2 linked regions of the Anolis sagrei genome follow. The protein of the gene in region 1 interacts with the protein of each later gene in a biochemical or structural test. Links are inferred from orthologs where the notes say so. Each region holds a gene or a part of one and is shown on either strand. Other genes may lie near its edges.

Evidence for each region.
Region 2: the proteins of PTCH1 (region 1) and SHH are reported together in a solved structure, tested with the Homo sapiens proteins (5 studies listed by BioGRID and IntAct, with this or other methods). The link is inferred for Anolis sagrei from reciprocal best matches to the Homo sapiens genes PTCH1 and SHH.

What each region holds. Positions count from the first base shown.
Region 1 is NC_090022.1:230,895,437-230,903,498, reverse strand, and holds the start of PTCH1 (protein patched homolog 1), read left to right. Parts: upstream 1-5,023; 5' UTR 5,024-5,138; coding exon 5,139-5,420; intron 5,421-8,062.
Region 2 is NC_090026.1:119,821,308-119,829,253, forward strand, and holds the start of SHH (sonic hedgehog protein), read left to right. Parts: upstream 1-4,905; 5' UTR 4,906-5,471; coding exon 5,472-5,783; intron 5,784-7,946.

The DNA of each region.
Region 1 (8,062 bases):
CATGGGCAAACCTCTGCCCTCCAGGTATTTTGGACATCAACTCCGAGGAATTATGGGAGTTGAAGTCTAAAACACCTGGAAAGGCGAAGTTTGCCCATGCCTGTGCTAGACAGTGGCATCTACTGCTTCTCCATCTCAGAGACAGCCATGGTCTAGACCAGAGTGAGAAGGGAAAATAAAATATTTCAGAGATGAAGAGTAGGAACAAGTCTGGGGACTGGCCTTTGCTGAACTATGGGCCCTTTGTAGGTATATATAAACATGCCCACCTTCAGTGTCAAACCTGTAGCAGGATATCTCTATCCAGGGGTATATCTGCACTGTAGAATTAATGGAATTTAACACCACTTTAACTGCCATGGCTCAATGCTCCAGAATCATGGGAATTCTAGTTTGGTGGGACATCAGAACACTTTCATAGAATCATTGAGTTGGAAGAGACCTCATGGGCCATCCAGTCCAACCTCCTGCCAAGAAGCAGGAAAATTGCATTCAAAGCACCCCTAACAGATGGCCATCCAACCTCTGTTTAAAAGTAGGTGAACTATAAATCCCAGTAACTACAACTCCCATCTGAGCTCATATTTGGGCATATTGAGTATTCGTGCCAAGTTTGGTCCAGATCCATCATTGTTTGAGTCCACAGTTCTCTCTGGATGTAGGCAAACTACAACTCCCAAACTCAAGGTCAATGCCCACCAAACCCTTCCAGTGTTCTCTGTTGGTCATAGGAGTCCTGTGTGCCAAGTTTGGATCAATTCCATCATTGGGGGAGTTCAGAATGCTCTTTGATTATAGGTGAACTATAAATCCCAGCAACTACAACTCCCAAATGACAAAATCATAATTTTTGAGTGATGGTCACTCCTTGTGTTGTGAGACATTTTGGTGTGATTTTGTTCATTGGTTCTTTTGTTTTTAAGGTGCTCTTTCAGTTTCTGAAACAGGAACAACATGCACAGAGTTATGGTATGCCTTTTACAATAAGGATGTTGTTCCTGTGAACAAATCATGTTGCTTTGGTGGCTGTGATCAGACTAATGGAAAGCGTTACTGTTGATACAGAGCTGAGCTGACCCTGCCCTCAGAGCTCTTAGGAGGAAGAGCCGGACATAAATCAAATAAAGGAGAAGGAGGAGAGGGAGATGAGGTTCCTTGGATAATTCTTTCCAAATTTCAGGAAGACCTGTTTTTGCTAGTAGCCACCAGACAGTTCTGATCCCCAAGTTTGTCATGAAACAAAATACACACAAAGCAACATCTTTCATAAAAACAACTGATGATCTATATGGTGCAAAGAGGCTATTAGTCCTTGAACGCCACTGGATTTAGTTTCCCTCTTTCTTTTCTTCTCAAAAGACTCTACATGAGTTAGAGAACAGAATAGACATAAGAAATGATTGGGTATTTTCTATCTAACTTTTTTCCCCCTTTTGCCTTGTATATTTGCTATCTTCCTGGTGAACCTTTCTCAGGGAGAAAAATGGCAAAGATTAACATCCATCCTGCAAGGGCAAACATTTGAAAACCAAGCCGTGGGATGGAATGAGTAAACATTTCAGCAGGAGGAAAACTCTGGTCCATCCCCCCCTTCTCTTCATTTTATCCCGTATTTATTTTAACAAGGAAAACTGCATTCCAGCACTTGCCCTCTCCCCAATACACACACATCTTGAGGGCAAAGGCACACACACAACACGATTTTATAGTAGACTCTCACTTAACTGGAACTCAAGCAACTGACAAAAAAAACCCCCCGAATAAATAATACTTTATTTTTTAAAAAATACAGTAAAACAGCAGAACTGTTACATTATGTTTGTCCTTATATGTCTCAATTTGATTTTAATTACTGTATTTAAATATTAATATCACATCAATACAGAGGTATGGTGTGAGGTATAGTATTAGTTAGGTCTATATTAATTTGTGAGGTATAGTATTATTTAGGTCTATATTAATTTTTTGTTGTTTATTTGTTCAGTTCTTTGGGACCTCATGGACCTATTAAGTATATTATCTTATTATATTAATAATAACTATATTGGGTTGCTGTGAGTTTTCTGGGCTATATGGCCATGTTTGAGAAGCATTCTCTCCTGACGTTTTCCCCACATCTATGGCAAGCACCCTGAGAGGTTGTGAGGTCTGTTGGAAACTACGCAAGTGTGGTTTATATATCTGTGGTGGGAGAAAGAACTCTTGTCTGCTTGAGGCAAGTGTGAATGTTTTAATTGGCCAGCTTGATTATCATTGAATGGCCTTGCAGCTTCAAAGCCTGGCTGCTTCCTGCCAGGAGGAATCCTTTGTTGGGATGTGTTAGCTGGCTCTGATTGTTTCCTGTCTGAAATTCCTCTGTTTTCTGAGTGTTATTCTTTATTTAATGTTCTGATTTTAGAGGGTTTTTTAAAAATACTGGTAGCTAGACTTTGTTCGTTTTCATGGTTTCCTCCTTTCTGTTGAAATTGTCCACATGCTTGTGGATTTCAATTGCTTCTCTGTGTAGTCTGACATGCGGGTTGTTAGAGCGGTCCAGCATTCTGTGTTCTCAAATAATATGACTGCCAGTATTTTAAAAACTCTAAAATCAGGAAGGTAAATAAAGAACAACTCTAAGAAAACAGGGGAATTCCAGAAAGGAAGCAATCAGGGCCAGCTAACACCTCTCAACAAAGGATTCCCCCCAGACAGGAAGCAGCCAGGCTTTGAAGCTGCAAGGCTATTCGATGCTAATCAAGGTGGCTAATTGCAACATTCACACTTGCCTTCAACAGACAAGAGTTACTTTCTCCCACTCTGGACATTCCACAGATATATAAACCCCACTTGCCTAGTTTCCAAGAGACCCTACAACCTCTGAGGATGCCTACCATAGATGTGAAACATCCCTGTTATGTCAGCTCCACTGGCTGCCAATTTGCTTTTGAGCACAATTCAAAGTGCTGGCTTTAGCCTATAAATCCCTAAATGGTTCTGGTCCAGCTTACCTGTCCAAATGTATCTCCCTTTATGATCCAGTGCGCGGTTGACAGGGATGAGAGACAGGACCCTCTCGGTGGTGGCCCCTTGGTGGCCCCAGTGACATCAGAACAGCCCGCTCACCCTTAAGCTTCAGGGAAAATCTTAAGACCTGGCTATTTAAGCAAGCCTTTGAGAATTAATATGATCCATAAGTATGACGGAATCTGTATAAGAACGGCGAAAGCCATTGGTTTAATGTTTACGAAGTTCAGTTGGTGCTAGACTTTTGATATCTTTGATATGTTTTAATCATTTGAAAGACTATTTAATTGATATGTATATGCTTTTTACAGTTTTGTAATAGGTATTTTATTGTTGTGTTATTGTCTGAATCTGGCATTGAATTATTGCCATAGTTTGAGAAGGGTAGGGTAGAAGTACAGTAAATAAATAAATAAACAGACAAACAAATGGCAGGAGAAAATGCTTCTGGAACATGGCCATAAAGCCCAGACAACTCAAAGCAACCCAGTGATTCTGGCCATGAAAGCCTTCAACAACACAGTAACAATATTAATACATTATAGTCTATATTAATATTAACTTTATATTTATATGAACTATTATTATTATTATTATTAGTAGTAGTAGTAGTAGTAGTAGTAGTATTTCAAGCATTTATATCCTGCCCTTCCCACTCCGAAGAGGGACTCAGGGTGGCTTACAATAGGTAAGCGTTAGATGTCAGACAATACATTAAAATACACAGTTACAATTAAAACAGAAATTAAAACAATTATAAACATTCAATTTAAAACAGTCCACCGGTTCAAAATCATAGTCCAGGTCAGTCCATTGTCCATTAAAACATTGTCTTCCCAGTTGCTACATCTCTTGCTCAAATGCTTGATCCCACAGCCAGGTTTTAAGTTTATGATGAAAGGCCAGGAGAGAGAATGCAGACCTAATTTCATTGGGGAGGGAGTTCCACAGCCGAGGAACCACCATGGAGAAGGCCCTGTCTCTCATTACCACCAGTCGCGACTGCAAAGGAGGTGGGACCGAGAGCAGGGCCTCCCCAGATTATCTAAACATCCTTGATGGTTCCTAAAGGGATGCCAGCCACATGACCTTGGAGGTGTCTATGGACAACATTGGCTCTTTGGTTTAGAAATGGAGATAAGCACCAACCCCCAGAGTTGGACAGGACTGGACTTAATGTCAGGGGAAAACCCTTACCTTTACCTATATTAATATGAACTATATATTATTTTCTAACTGGAGGTCAGCTGTGACCAGCGGTGCTGCAGAATCCGAAGAGGCACAAATGAAGGGTGAAATGGAGAAACATGCCAAGAGGAAGGCACATCAAGCCAACCCTGACTGGGACCACCTTCCATCTGGAAACCGATGTCCTCATTGGGAGAGAACATGCAGATCAAGAATAGGGCTCCACAGCCACCTACAGACCCACCACCAAGACACTACATGTGGAAGACCATCATCCTCGAGCTATGAGGAATCGCCTAAGTATATATTATTTATATATAATATATTAAAGGCTATATGAATAGTAACTCTCAAGCAACCAGAAATGTCATTTATCTGCCATTTACTAATCCCCATGATGTTGGCCAACTGAGAGTCTGTTGTACTTCCCAAGAGGAACTGAGACTACAAGTGAACTTCATGCTTCAGATGAAAGCAAGATTTGTAGCATCAGATGAATGATGCTTTTAAGTGAAGGTAGAAGAGAGAGAGAAAGGGGAGACTATGGGGAGGGAGAGGGGAAAGTGGGGTGGGGTGGGGGGAAGGAGTGTTGTAGCCACTTTGTCAATTTCATGCTTGGGGTCTGCTCCAGGGACCTTCAGAGAGAGAGAGAGAGAGAGAGAGAGAGAAAGGGAGCGAGGCTGCTTGATGCTTGTTTACCCAGGAGGGCTGCTCTGAGCGTCAGTTCCTTGGGTTTACTTTGCTTTTCCTTGAGTTTATTGTACCAAAAAAAGGGGGGGGGGAGTGAAAAAAAAGGTTTTTCGGATCCATCACGTGATCCTGACAGGTCCTGCCTATTGAGAAAGCCAGACCACCCACATGGAGAGGACGATGGAGCTCTTAATAGAAACAGGCACGCAATTGTGCGCACTCCGCCGAACGCTTGCCATGGAGGAGGATTCCTGTTGATGCGGATGGTTATTATTATTACTATTATTATTCTCGTTATTTGGAAGCGGGGGAGCCTTCCAAAGCTTTGGGAAAGGGAGAAGCGGACGGGCAAGAGAGGAAAGAGGGAGTTTGCATTTCGGAGCAGGGAAGTCTCCCAGGAAAGGCACTTGGATGTCCTCCTCTCCTTCTCTTCCTCCAAGTTGGCTTCTGCCTCGGCGGCACCACGGCGGCGGGGAATGAAGGCGACCAGCCGGACCCAGAGGCCACTCCACCCCTTCCAGGGGCTCCAAGGGGAGAGGGTGAGTCCGGGAAAGCGCCATCGGGAAAGCGGGGCCGGGGAATGAGAGAGAAGGGAGGGAGGGAAGGAAGGACGGAAAGAGGGAGGGAGGGAGGGAAGGAGATCCGCGGGTGGATGCGCCTGGCAGATGGCAAATCCCTTTGGGCGAGCTGGCACAGGGAGGGTGTTTGTGTGTGTGTGTTGTGAGTGGGAGAGAAGGCTGACGGGGAGGGATGGAACAAGAGGAAGGAAGGAAGGAAGGAAGGAAGGAAGGAAGGAAGGAAGGAAGGAAGGAAGGAAGGAAGGAAGGAAAGAAATCCAGGGAAATCCAGTTGAAGGAGAGAGAGAGAGAGAGAGGATAGGAAGGAGAGAGGAGGGCTGGCCTCACTGCTGTCATTACACGCAAAGAACCAGCCAATGGAGAACATGCATGGGCCAACTTGGGTCCTCCAGATGTTTTGGATTTCAACTCCCACCATCTCCAACAGCCTCAGGCCCTTTCCTTTTCCCCCTCAGCCACTTAAGGGAGAAAAGGAAGGGGCTTGAGGCTGTTAGGGATGGTGGGAGTTGAAGCCCAAAACACCTGGAGGACCCAAGTTGGCCAATGCCTGGTGTAGAAGATGCATCCCATCTCTCCCTCATTACGGCTGGTGGGAGGGCCTGAGGCTGTTAGGGATGGTGGGAGTTGAAGTCCAACACACCTGGAGGACCCAAGTTGGCCAATGCCTGGTGTAGAAGATGCATCCCATCTCTCCCTCATTACGGCTGGAGGGAGGGCCTGAGGCTGTTAGGGATGGTGGGAGTTGAAGTCCAACACACCTGGAGGGCCCAAGATGGCTCATGCCAGGTGTAGAAGATGCATCCCTTCTCCCCCTCTCTTCTTTGACCTCATGGCAGCTGGAGGGAAAGGAAAGGGCCTGAGGCTGTGAGGGATGGTGGGAGTTGAAGTCCAAAACACCTGGAGGACCCAAGTTGGCCCATGCCTGGTGTAGAAGATGCACCCCATCTCTCCCCCTCCTCTCTGACCTCATGACGGCTGGTGGGAGGGCCTGAGGCTGTTAGGGATGGTGGGAGTTGAAGTCCAACACACCTGGAGGACCCAAGTTGGCTCATGCCTGGTGTAAAAGATGCATCCCTTCTCTCCCTCTCTTCTTTGACCTCATGACGGCTGGTGGGATGGATCAAGAGGTCTCTTGGATCCCAATTGGATTCTTGGAAGGGCACCCCACACCATAATGTCTGTATGTCTGCCTGGCAGGGGCTTCACTGAAATCGATATGGGAAGTGTTCCTTTCACAACATGTCCATCTTAAATCTTTGAGGTCCCAGGTATAAGTACTATGGCTTTAGACCACAGATATATATTTGTTTGCACTGCTTTAGTAAACCTCTGGCCTAAAGACATAGTACATATAATATGTGGTCAGATGACACCTGGAATCACACTGTGTCCAATTCTGGGCACCACAATTGAAGGGAGATGTTGACAGGCTGGAATGTTTCCAGAGGAGGGCAGCTCAAATGATCAAGGGTCTGGAGAACAAGCCCTAGGCATGTATAGCCTGCAGAAGAGAAGGCTGAGAGGAGGCATTATGGCCATATATAAACATGTGAGAGGAAGTCATGGGGAAGAGGGAGCAAGCTTGTTTTATGTTGCCCTGGAGACTAGGATGCAGAACAATAGCTTCAAACAACAGGAAAAGAGATTCCACCTGAACATGAGGAAGAACTTCCTGACTGTGAGAGCTATTCAGCAGTGGGACTCTCCGCCCTGGAGTGTTGTGGAGGCTCCTTCTTTGGAGGTTTTTAAACAGAGGCTGGATGACCATCTGTCAGGCGTGCTTTGAATGCTATTTTCTTGCTTCTTGGCAGGGGGTTGGACTGGATGGCCCACAAGGTCTCTTCCAACTCTATGATTTTGTGATTCTATGTCCATCTCTTTCTTCCTGGCTACATGTTCCAGTAAGGAAATGTGAGTGCAAGCATCAAGGGGACTTTTTCTGGAGGTTGCATTTACACTGTGTGATTGAATGCCAATTGACATCTCTTGAACTGCCCTGTGCTGGAAGTTGTCATTTCATAAGCTTGCGTGCCTTCTCTGCCCAAGAGTGCTAGGGCCTCATCAAACTGTAACTTGCCTATTTATCATGTCAGAAGTGAACCAAGGGTACAGTCATAATGTATTTAAAAACACCAAGTTTAAAAACTTGGCATTATACTAAATGTCCTTTGACCAGTAACTGGCCACTTAGAGTATCTCTGGTGTTGTATATGCGACTTGCAGCTTGCCTGATTTCCATAGTCTTGAGCCATGGTAGTTCAAGTGGTGTTAAACTGTATTCATTCTGCAATGTAGATGGACCTTATGACTTGAAACAAGCAACTTGTTGAAGGTTGAGTTGCTTTAGGAAAAGGCAATTGGGTGACTCTTTGGGGGCATCTCTTTGCCAGAAATCAGCCTTGGCTTCCATTGACACTCTCTGGCTTCCATGGCTCTGCAAAAGAGGTACAAACAGCTGCTTAAGTCTTGTTAGCCCTGACTAAAGTAGGCTCATTGAATTAATGGATTTTACCTATGTGCTAGGGCCATGGTGGTGCAATGGGTTAAACCGGTGAGCGGCGGAACTTGCTGACTGAAAGGTTGGTGGTTAAAATCCATGGTGC
Region 2 (7,946 bases), on another chromosome or scaffold:
AAGCGGGGTCAAACTGCATTCATTCTATAATGTAAATACAGCCCAGGACACCTTTTAAAGGGATGCCAAAGACTGCTTCTGCAAAATGGCATTGCTCTACCTTCCTTGGAAATAGGATTGGGACAGGGCCTCATTGAGCAGCATGAAGCAAAGGCCTCAAGGAGCAAGGTTGGGGTTGGCTAACATAAAAAGGCAGAATATGCTGCTTTTGGAGGTATTTTGGAGTTTGTTTTTGGAACTTCTAGAGGGGTTGGCCAGGCCTCTTTTGGGAGTGGAGTGGAAGAAAGAAAAGGAGAGGAAATGTCCCCTCTGAAGAGAGAAAGAGCATTGGACAGCCTAAGCTTGGCATGGGCAAACTTGGATCCTCCAGTTGTTTTGGACTTCAACACCCACAAATCCTAACAGCCTCAGGCCCTTTCCTTTTCCTTAAGTGGCTGAGGGGGACAAGGAAGGGGCCTGAGGCTGGGTTGCTGTGAGTTTTCCAGGCTGTCTGCCCATATTCCAGAAGCATTCTCCCCTGACCTTAGCCCACATCTATGGTAGTAATCCTCAGAGGTTTTCAGGTTTGTTGGAAACTAGGCAAGTGGGTTTTATATACCTGAGGAATAATGTCCAGGGTGGGAGAAAGAACTCTTGCCTGTTTGAGGCAAGTGTTAATGCTGCAATTGATCACCACGAGGAGCATTGCAGCTTCAAGGCTTGGCTGCTTCCTGGCTAGGGTAATCCTTTGTTGGGAGGTAGCCCTGAGTCTGTGAGGAATGGTGGGAGTTGAAGTCCAAAACATCTGGAGGGAGGGCCCAAGTTTGCCCATGCCTGGCCTAACCTGATGGGCTATAAATATACTTTCCCTACTTGAATTACATTTCATAGAATCATAGAGTTAGAAGAGACCTCATGGGCCATCCAGTCCAACCCCCTGCCAAGAAGCAGGAAAAATGCATTTAAAGCACCCCAACAGATGGCCATCCAGCCTCTGTTTAAAAGCCTCCAAAGAAGGAGCCTCCACCACACTCTGGGGCAGAGAGTTCCACTGCTGAACGGCTCTCACAGTCAGGAAGTTCTTTCTAATGTTCAGATGGAATCTCCTTTCTTGTAGTTTGAAAACATTGTTCCTTGTCCTAGTCTCCAGGGCAGCAGAAAACAAGCTTGCTTCCTCCTCCCTATGACTTCATCTCACATGGCTACTATCATGTCTCCTCTCAGCCTTCTCTTCTTCAAGCTAAACATGTCCAGCTCTTTAAGCCACTCCTCATAGGACTTGTTCTCCAGACCCTTGATCATTTTAGTCACTCTCCTCTAGACACATTGCAGCTTGTCAATATCTCTCTTCAGTTGTGGTGCCCAGAATTGGACACAATATTCCAGGTGTGGTCTAACCAAGGCAGAATAGAAGGGTTGCATGACTTCCCTAGATCTAGACACTAGACTCCTATTGATGCAGGCCAAAATCCCATTGGCTTTTTTTGCATCACATAGTTGGCTCATGTTTAACTTGTTGTCCACGAGGACTCCAAGATCTTTTTCACACGAGGTAGTATAAGAAGGGAGCTCTAAAGGATTTGAGATCTCCAGAGCTTTTTAAAAAACCATTGAAGTCCTCCCATTGGCCATTCTGTCTGGAGAATTCGGAGCTGAACTTCTGAAAGTGTGGCTTCTCTCCGGCCTCCTTTGGGAAGCAGGGTTGGCTCCCCACTTCCTCCCTTCGCTCCCTCTCTTCCTCGCCTCCCACTTGTCTTATTCCTCGCGTGTAGTTATTGATCTTTCCTCGGTCACTTCCTCCCCTCTTGCTAAGCTCTGGTTTGTACATCTGGGAGGCTTGAGATCCACGGAAGGCACAGGAGATTTGGCTCCTGAAGACCGTGCCGACTAGGGCGCATTGCCTGCCCCCCTTTTCCTTCCCAAAGAGAAGGATCCGAAGCCCGTTTCCCTCGTGGAGAGGAGTGGGTGCGTGGAGAGGGGGCTGAGCCCGAAGCCTGCCTTGGTTCACCCTCCTAGCTTCATGGGAAGGAAACTTTTTCTCGCGCAAAGTTTCTGCGGCTTCTTCTCCCCTAGATACTTTTTTGAGTTTGGAGACATGACTTGGAGGTCCCAGAATCCACAGTCTCGTCAACTTTCGGGTCGGGTGGATTCTGGGAGCGGTGGTGCAAAATCAAACCAACTAAGACGCAACTTGTCCGAGTTCGGAAAAGTTTGGAAAAGTTTGGAAAAGTTTTCACGGGACGCCTCGAAACTTTCCAAACTTTCCTTCCCACAGATCCCTCAAATAGACACCAAAGACGGCAGAGTTGGGAGCAGAGGGTCGGTAGAAAATACTAATGAGGCATTCAAAGTTAACTTTTTGAAGAGGGTCGACTTTTTTTAAAAGTCGGATTCACCCACTCTTGGATAGGAATCCCGAGTTCGCTCCCTCGCCTCTCAACGAGTTAGGAAACGAGCCGAGGCGTTATTCTGTCTTCGTTTCCCGGAGAGTAAATGCATTTATTTCTATGGACGACTTTCCCAAGTAAGGTGGGAGTTTCACGCAGGGACAGCCTCATTTCCAAGAAATCAACAGGTGGAAAGATCTCCAAACGAGAGCTCCAAGCCCTCAGAATGATCAAACGTGGTCTCCTTTTGACTTCTAGGAAAGTTTCTGGGAGGCTTGAGATGTCTTGAACGTGAAGAATATCTAAGTGCAATTGTTCAAAAATAAATATCCCATCCATCTCAGTATGTGGAAAAGTAGGTCCATCCCAATAAGTAGTATATATGGGGGAAATGGTATTTCTCAATCCACCCCAACCTATGTGGAAAGACAGGATTTATCTCTCAATCTACACCAGTAAGTAGAAAGAAGTAGGGTTATTTTTTATTATTATTTCAAACCCAGCTCCCAATATTGATCCACTCCAAGTCCTTGAGTCAGTGACCTGCTGTTGCGGAGTTGTTGGAAGGAACTCTGCCTTTCCCCCCACATGGAGAGAGGTGCCTTCCCTCCTGGAAAGAAGACCAACTCCGCTGCTTTTCGGGCTGGAGTTGCGGGCTCCCATCTCCGGCGAGGCTGCGTGGATCTGGGCGAGCGCCTTTGTCTGTCCCGAGTCTGCTGCATCTCCAGCCAGAGAGCCACTCATGCCGCATTTCCCTCCGCGCCACTCACTTGAGGTCTGCCTCTGACGTGTGAAGAGGCTTTCCGCGCCAGGGAGAAGGAAGGAAAGGGAAGGGGAAGGGAGGAGGAAAGAGGGGAGGAAAGAGGGAAGGAAGGGAAGGGAAGGGAAGGAGGGAGGGAAAGGAGAAGGAGAAAAAGGAGAAGGAAGGAAGGGGAAGGGGAAGGTAGGAGGAACGAGGGAAGGGAAAGGGAGGGAGGGAAGGAGAAGGAAGGAAAATTAAGGGAAGGAAGGGAAGGAAAGGAGGGAGAAGGAAGGGAAAGAAGGAAGAAGAGAGGGAAGTGAAGGGAGGGAGGGAGGGAAAGAGAAGGAAGGAAAGAAGGAAGGAAGGAAAGAGAAAGGAAGGAGGAGGAGGAAGGGAAAGAAGGAAGAAGAGAGGGAAGTGAAGGAAGAAAGAAAGGGAGGGAGGGAAGGAGAAGGAAGGAAAATTAAGGGAAGAAAAGGAGGAAGAAGGAAGGGAAAGAAGGAAGGAAAGAAGAAAGGGAAAGGAAGAAGAGAAGGAAGGGAAGGAAGGGAAGGAAGGGAGGGAGGAGGAGGAGGAAGGGAAGGAAAGAAGGGGAAGGAACAAAAGGAAGAGAAGGAAGGAATGAGAAGGATGGAGAAGGAAAGTAAGGGAAGGGAAGTAGAAAGCCCTGGGAAGCCTTACCTGGGGCTCCGATCAATACCCTCAGAATGGGGAGCAAGCCTCCTCTTGCCTCGCAGCTCAGCCCCATTTTCCTCCAAGGTCTCCTTTGGGGCGCCAGGACTCCTCGAGATGTTTAATTGCTCCTTCCATAAAATATTGTGTGTGAGCATGGCTGCCCACACTCACATTCGCATTCTATATTGCACCCTACAGGTGGTGAAGCCCAATTATAGTCGTAAGTACCGTAAGACCCATTGTAATCAATAGGGCGGACAAACGAGTTGACTCAGAGACCTCTATTTTTTCCATTCCTAATATGTAGGTAGGTACCTCACATGTACCTGTGTACACTTCTCCAACAGGGATTCTCATAGATAGATAGATGTGTGCCTTCAAGACACCTGTTGACTTATGTTGACCCCATAGGGCTTTTTGGGTCGTTCCTTCCTCTGAAATGCATCCCACAGCCCCTGATATTCCCTGGTGGGAAGTACTGACCCTGACTCGTTTCCAAAATCAGGTGGGATCTGGTGCCTTTGGGGCATTTAGGTCAGGAAAGAGAGGGGGGTGTAGACAGAAGGACCTTAAGGCAACCTATTGGGAGCTTTTGCTGGTTCAGAAAGACTTTTGCCCTGGCCATCCTCTGATGTGGGGAGAGCCTGGTCTCCAGAGTCCACGCGGCTCAGGTGCAGATATATCCGTGTATCCTTCCCTATATGACACACAGGGAGGGATAGGCAGGCAGACACACCAAATCAAGAGAGACGTTTCTGTCCTAATCCCCAAACTCGCTGTCAGGTGCCTGGCTGAGCGGCTGGCTCCCCTTCCACGCCTTCCTCCTCCTCCTCCTCCTCCCGACCAGCATCTGCTCCTCTTGCCCTAGAAAAAAGAGAAAAGTTTCCGAGTGGATGGAGGGCCGAGAGGGAGGCAGGAAGGAAAGCAAGCAAGAGCAGCCTGGTTGGGGGGCGCCTCTTGTTGCGGGTGCGCCTCTCCTTCTCCTTCTTCCTCATCATCCTCACCTTCTTGTTGTGGTTGTTGTGTTGTTGTTGTTGTTGGCCTCCTCGAGGGTTAACGCCTCCCTCCGCCGGCGCGCTCCTCCCGCCTCGTCCAATCAGCGCGCAGCCCTGGCAGCTATAATATCCCAACTAAAGGCAGGCTCCTTCGCAGCACACAGCGCAGCGCCCGGGCGGCGGAGCTCCCACTAGAGACCCACGAGCGAGAAAAGGAGAGAGACAGAGAGAGAGAAGGAGGGAGAGCAGAGAGAAAGAGAGAGCAGCTCCCCGCCTTCCTTCCTTCCTTCCTTCCTTCCTTCCTTCCTTCCTTCCTTCCTTCCTTCCTTTTCCTTCCTTCCTTCCCTCCCCACCCGAGACGCGTGGCTCCCCTGGCCTTCCCTCTCTTCCTCCTCCTCCTCCTCCTCTTCCCCGCCCCACGGCCGGCCTTTCTCTGGGGCGTCCCGTCCACTCCCGCACCTGCCACGCAAAGGATCGGACGCGGAGGAAGAAGGAGCGCAGAGAGAGAGACAGAGAGACAGAGAGAGAGGCATCGCACCATCGCAGAGGCGCAGAGCGATCCCCGAGCCTCCGGGAGTTGCTTCTCGGGGGGAGGCGGAGGCTTGCAGCCGGCTCCCCCCTCCTGCTCCCTCCTCGCCTCCTTCCTCGCCTCCTTCCTCCTCCTCCTCTCCTCCTCCTCCTTCCCGGGCCGGGATGCGTCTGCCGGGGGGCGCGGGTCTGGCGTGGGGGGCGCCTGCGCTCCTCCTCCTGCTCCTCTGCCCCTCGGGCCTGGCCTGCGGCCCTGGAAGGGGCTTCGGGAAGCGGCGGCACCCCAAGAAGCTCACGCCCTTGGCCTACAAGCAGTTCATCCCCAACGTGGCCGAGAAGACGCTGGGCGCCTCCGGGCGCTACGAGGGCAAGATCAGCCGCAGCTCGGAGCGCTTCAAGGAGCTCACCCCCAACTACAACCCGGACATCATCTTCAAGGATGAGGAGAACACCGGCGCGGACCGGCTCATGACCCAGGTCAGTGGGGTTCCCCCTCTCTCCCCCCTGCAGACCCCCACCTTGCTTCCCTCTCGCCTTTCCCCTTTCAGGTGTTCAGCTGGAGATAGTCGAGGTGTGTTTTGCCCCCCTCTCTCTTGCTAGGGACCTGACTCATTCAGAGAGAGGGTTTGCCCCCCATTCAGACCTTCCTCCACGCCCGGGGCGGGTCTTGGCTTGCCTTTCTAGCTCGCCTTTCCACCTGCGGCAGGTCGAATTGGTCCTTGGCCCTCTCAGGCTGGCCCAGGCCAGCCAGTGTGTGTGTGTCCCCAACTCAGACCTTCATTTAGGGCCCCCTTTCTCGCTTGTGAGAGTGTGTGTGTGTATGTGTGTCCAACTCAGCCTTCATTTAGGGCGACCCTTTCCCGCTTGAATCCCCATAGCCTCCCCCTTCCTTTCCGAGGTGCTTCTTGGCCCTCTCTGGCTCGCCTCTCCCCACCTGCTGACCTAAGCCAGCCAGAGAGAGAAAGAGGTATTCCCACCCATTAGGGGCCCTTTTTTCGCTTGACTTCCCCACTCGAGCACCCCCACAGCCTCCCCCTTCTTTTCCGAGGTGTTCCTTGGCCCTCTCTGGCTCGCCTTCCCTCAGCTGCTGATCCAGGGCACTCAGAGAGAGAGAGGGGGGAACCCTCTCCCCATTCAGACCTTCATTTAGGACCCCTTTTCTTGCTTGACTTCCCCACTCGAGCATCCCCACAACCTCCCCTTTCTTTCCGAGGTGTTCCTTGGCCCTCTCTGGCTTGCCTTCCCCTAGCTGCTGACCCAGGACAGTCAAGAGAGCAAAAGAGAGGGTTTTCCTCAATTCAGACCTTCATTTAGGGTCACTTTTATCCCTTGATTTTTCCACTCGGACATCCCCACACCTCCTCCTTTTCCGAGGTGCTCCTTGGCTCCCTCTGGCTCGCCTCTCCCCACCTGCTGACCCAGGCCAGTCAGAGAGAGGAAGAGGTATTCAGACCTTCATTTAGGGGGCCTTTTATTGCTTGCCTTCCCTACTCGAACACCCCCACAGCCTCCCCCTGGGGAGAGGGCTCTTTGGCCCTCTCCCCAGCTGATAGCCCAGGCCAGTCAGAATGGGTTTCCCCATTCAGGTGGATCTTGCTCCCCACTAAGTTTGCAAGAGGAAGAATAAGAGCTGCAAGGAGAAGAGGAGGAGGAGGAAGGGCGGAAGGCTTCCCACCTGCGTGCCTGCCGTGCCTGCCTTTCCCTGGGATGGAGGAGGAGGGGGAGGCGCAAAGACTCGCGTGGCGGGCGTGGGGTGACACTCGCGCCACGCCGATGCCCTTCCCTGCCACTTGGTTGGTCGGTGGGTTGGTTAGCCGGTTCTGACTGCTTCTCTCCCCCCCCCCCCCACCGCTCTCCCTATTCCTCCTCTTTCCCAGGATCCGAGGGGAGCCCACGCCACGAGAGAGAGAGAGAGAGAGAGAGAGAGATCCCTTCCTCTCTCTCTCCTTCCTCCCCTCCCTTCCTGCACCTTGCGCTTCCTGGCCAGCCTCCCTTGAGGTCCAGAGGCCCAGAAGGAGAAGGGGATGGAGAAGGAGAAGGTGGGGGCTCTCTTGCAACCCACGCCCTCCTCCCCTTCTCTCCTTTTCCTCGCCATCCCCTCGTGGGCCACTGCGCCCAGATGAGCATTCAGAGATCGATTTCCCTTTAAGGATGCTCCCCCATTAGACCTGCTTTCCCACCAAAGGCCGGGGGGGGGGGAGAGGAGAGGGGGAGGGAGGGACGAGTAACTTAACCAGCATTGCATCACTTCAATGGAGGAAGGAGGGAGAGAGAAAGAAAGAGAAGAGCTCAGACTGAGGACTCTCTCTCTTTCTCTGTGTCTCTCTATGAATGAATCCTCCAAGGATCCAAGGCTTCAGACCCAAGGCTAAAAATAGGAAGTGGGTTTAAGGGGTCCATCCTTCTCTTCCTCTTGATGCGGAAGCTTGGGCTCTTCCATCCCTCTTCCGCCTTCTTCCTCCTCCTCTTCTCCTCTCAGTTCCGGAGTTCCTCCAAACTACCTGCCGCCCAGCTTGGCATCCTTCCTTCTTTCCTTCCAAATATAGGTCAACAGTCTTTCTGCCTCCTTCCTTCCCTCCCTCCTTCCGCTATTCATATGTTTAAGCCCCACCTTCGGGTCTCTCCTGGAGACTGAGGAGG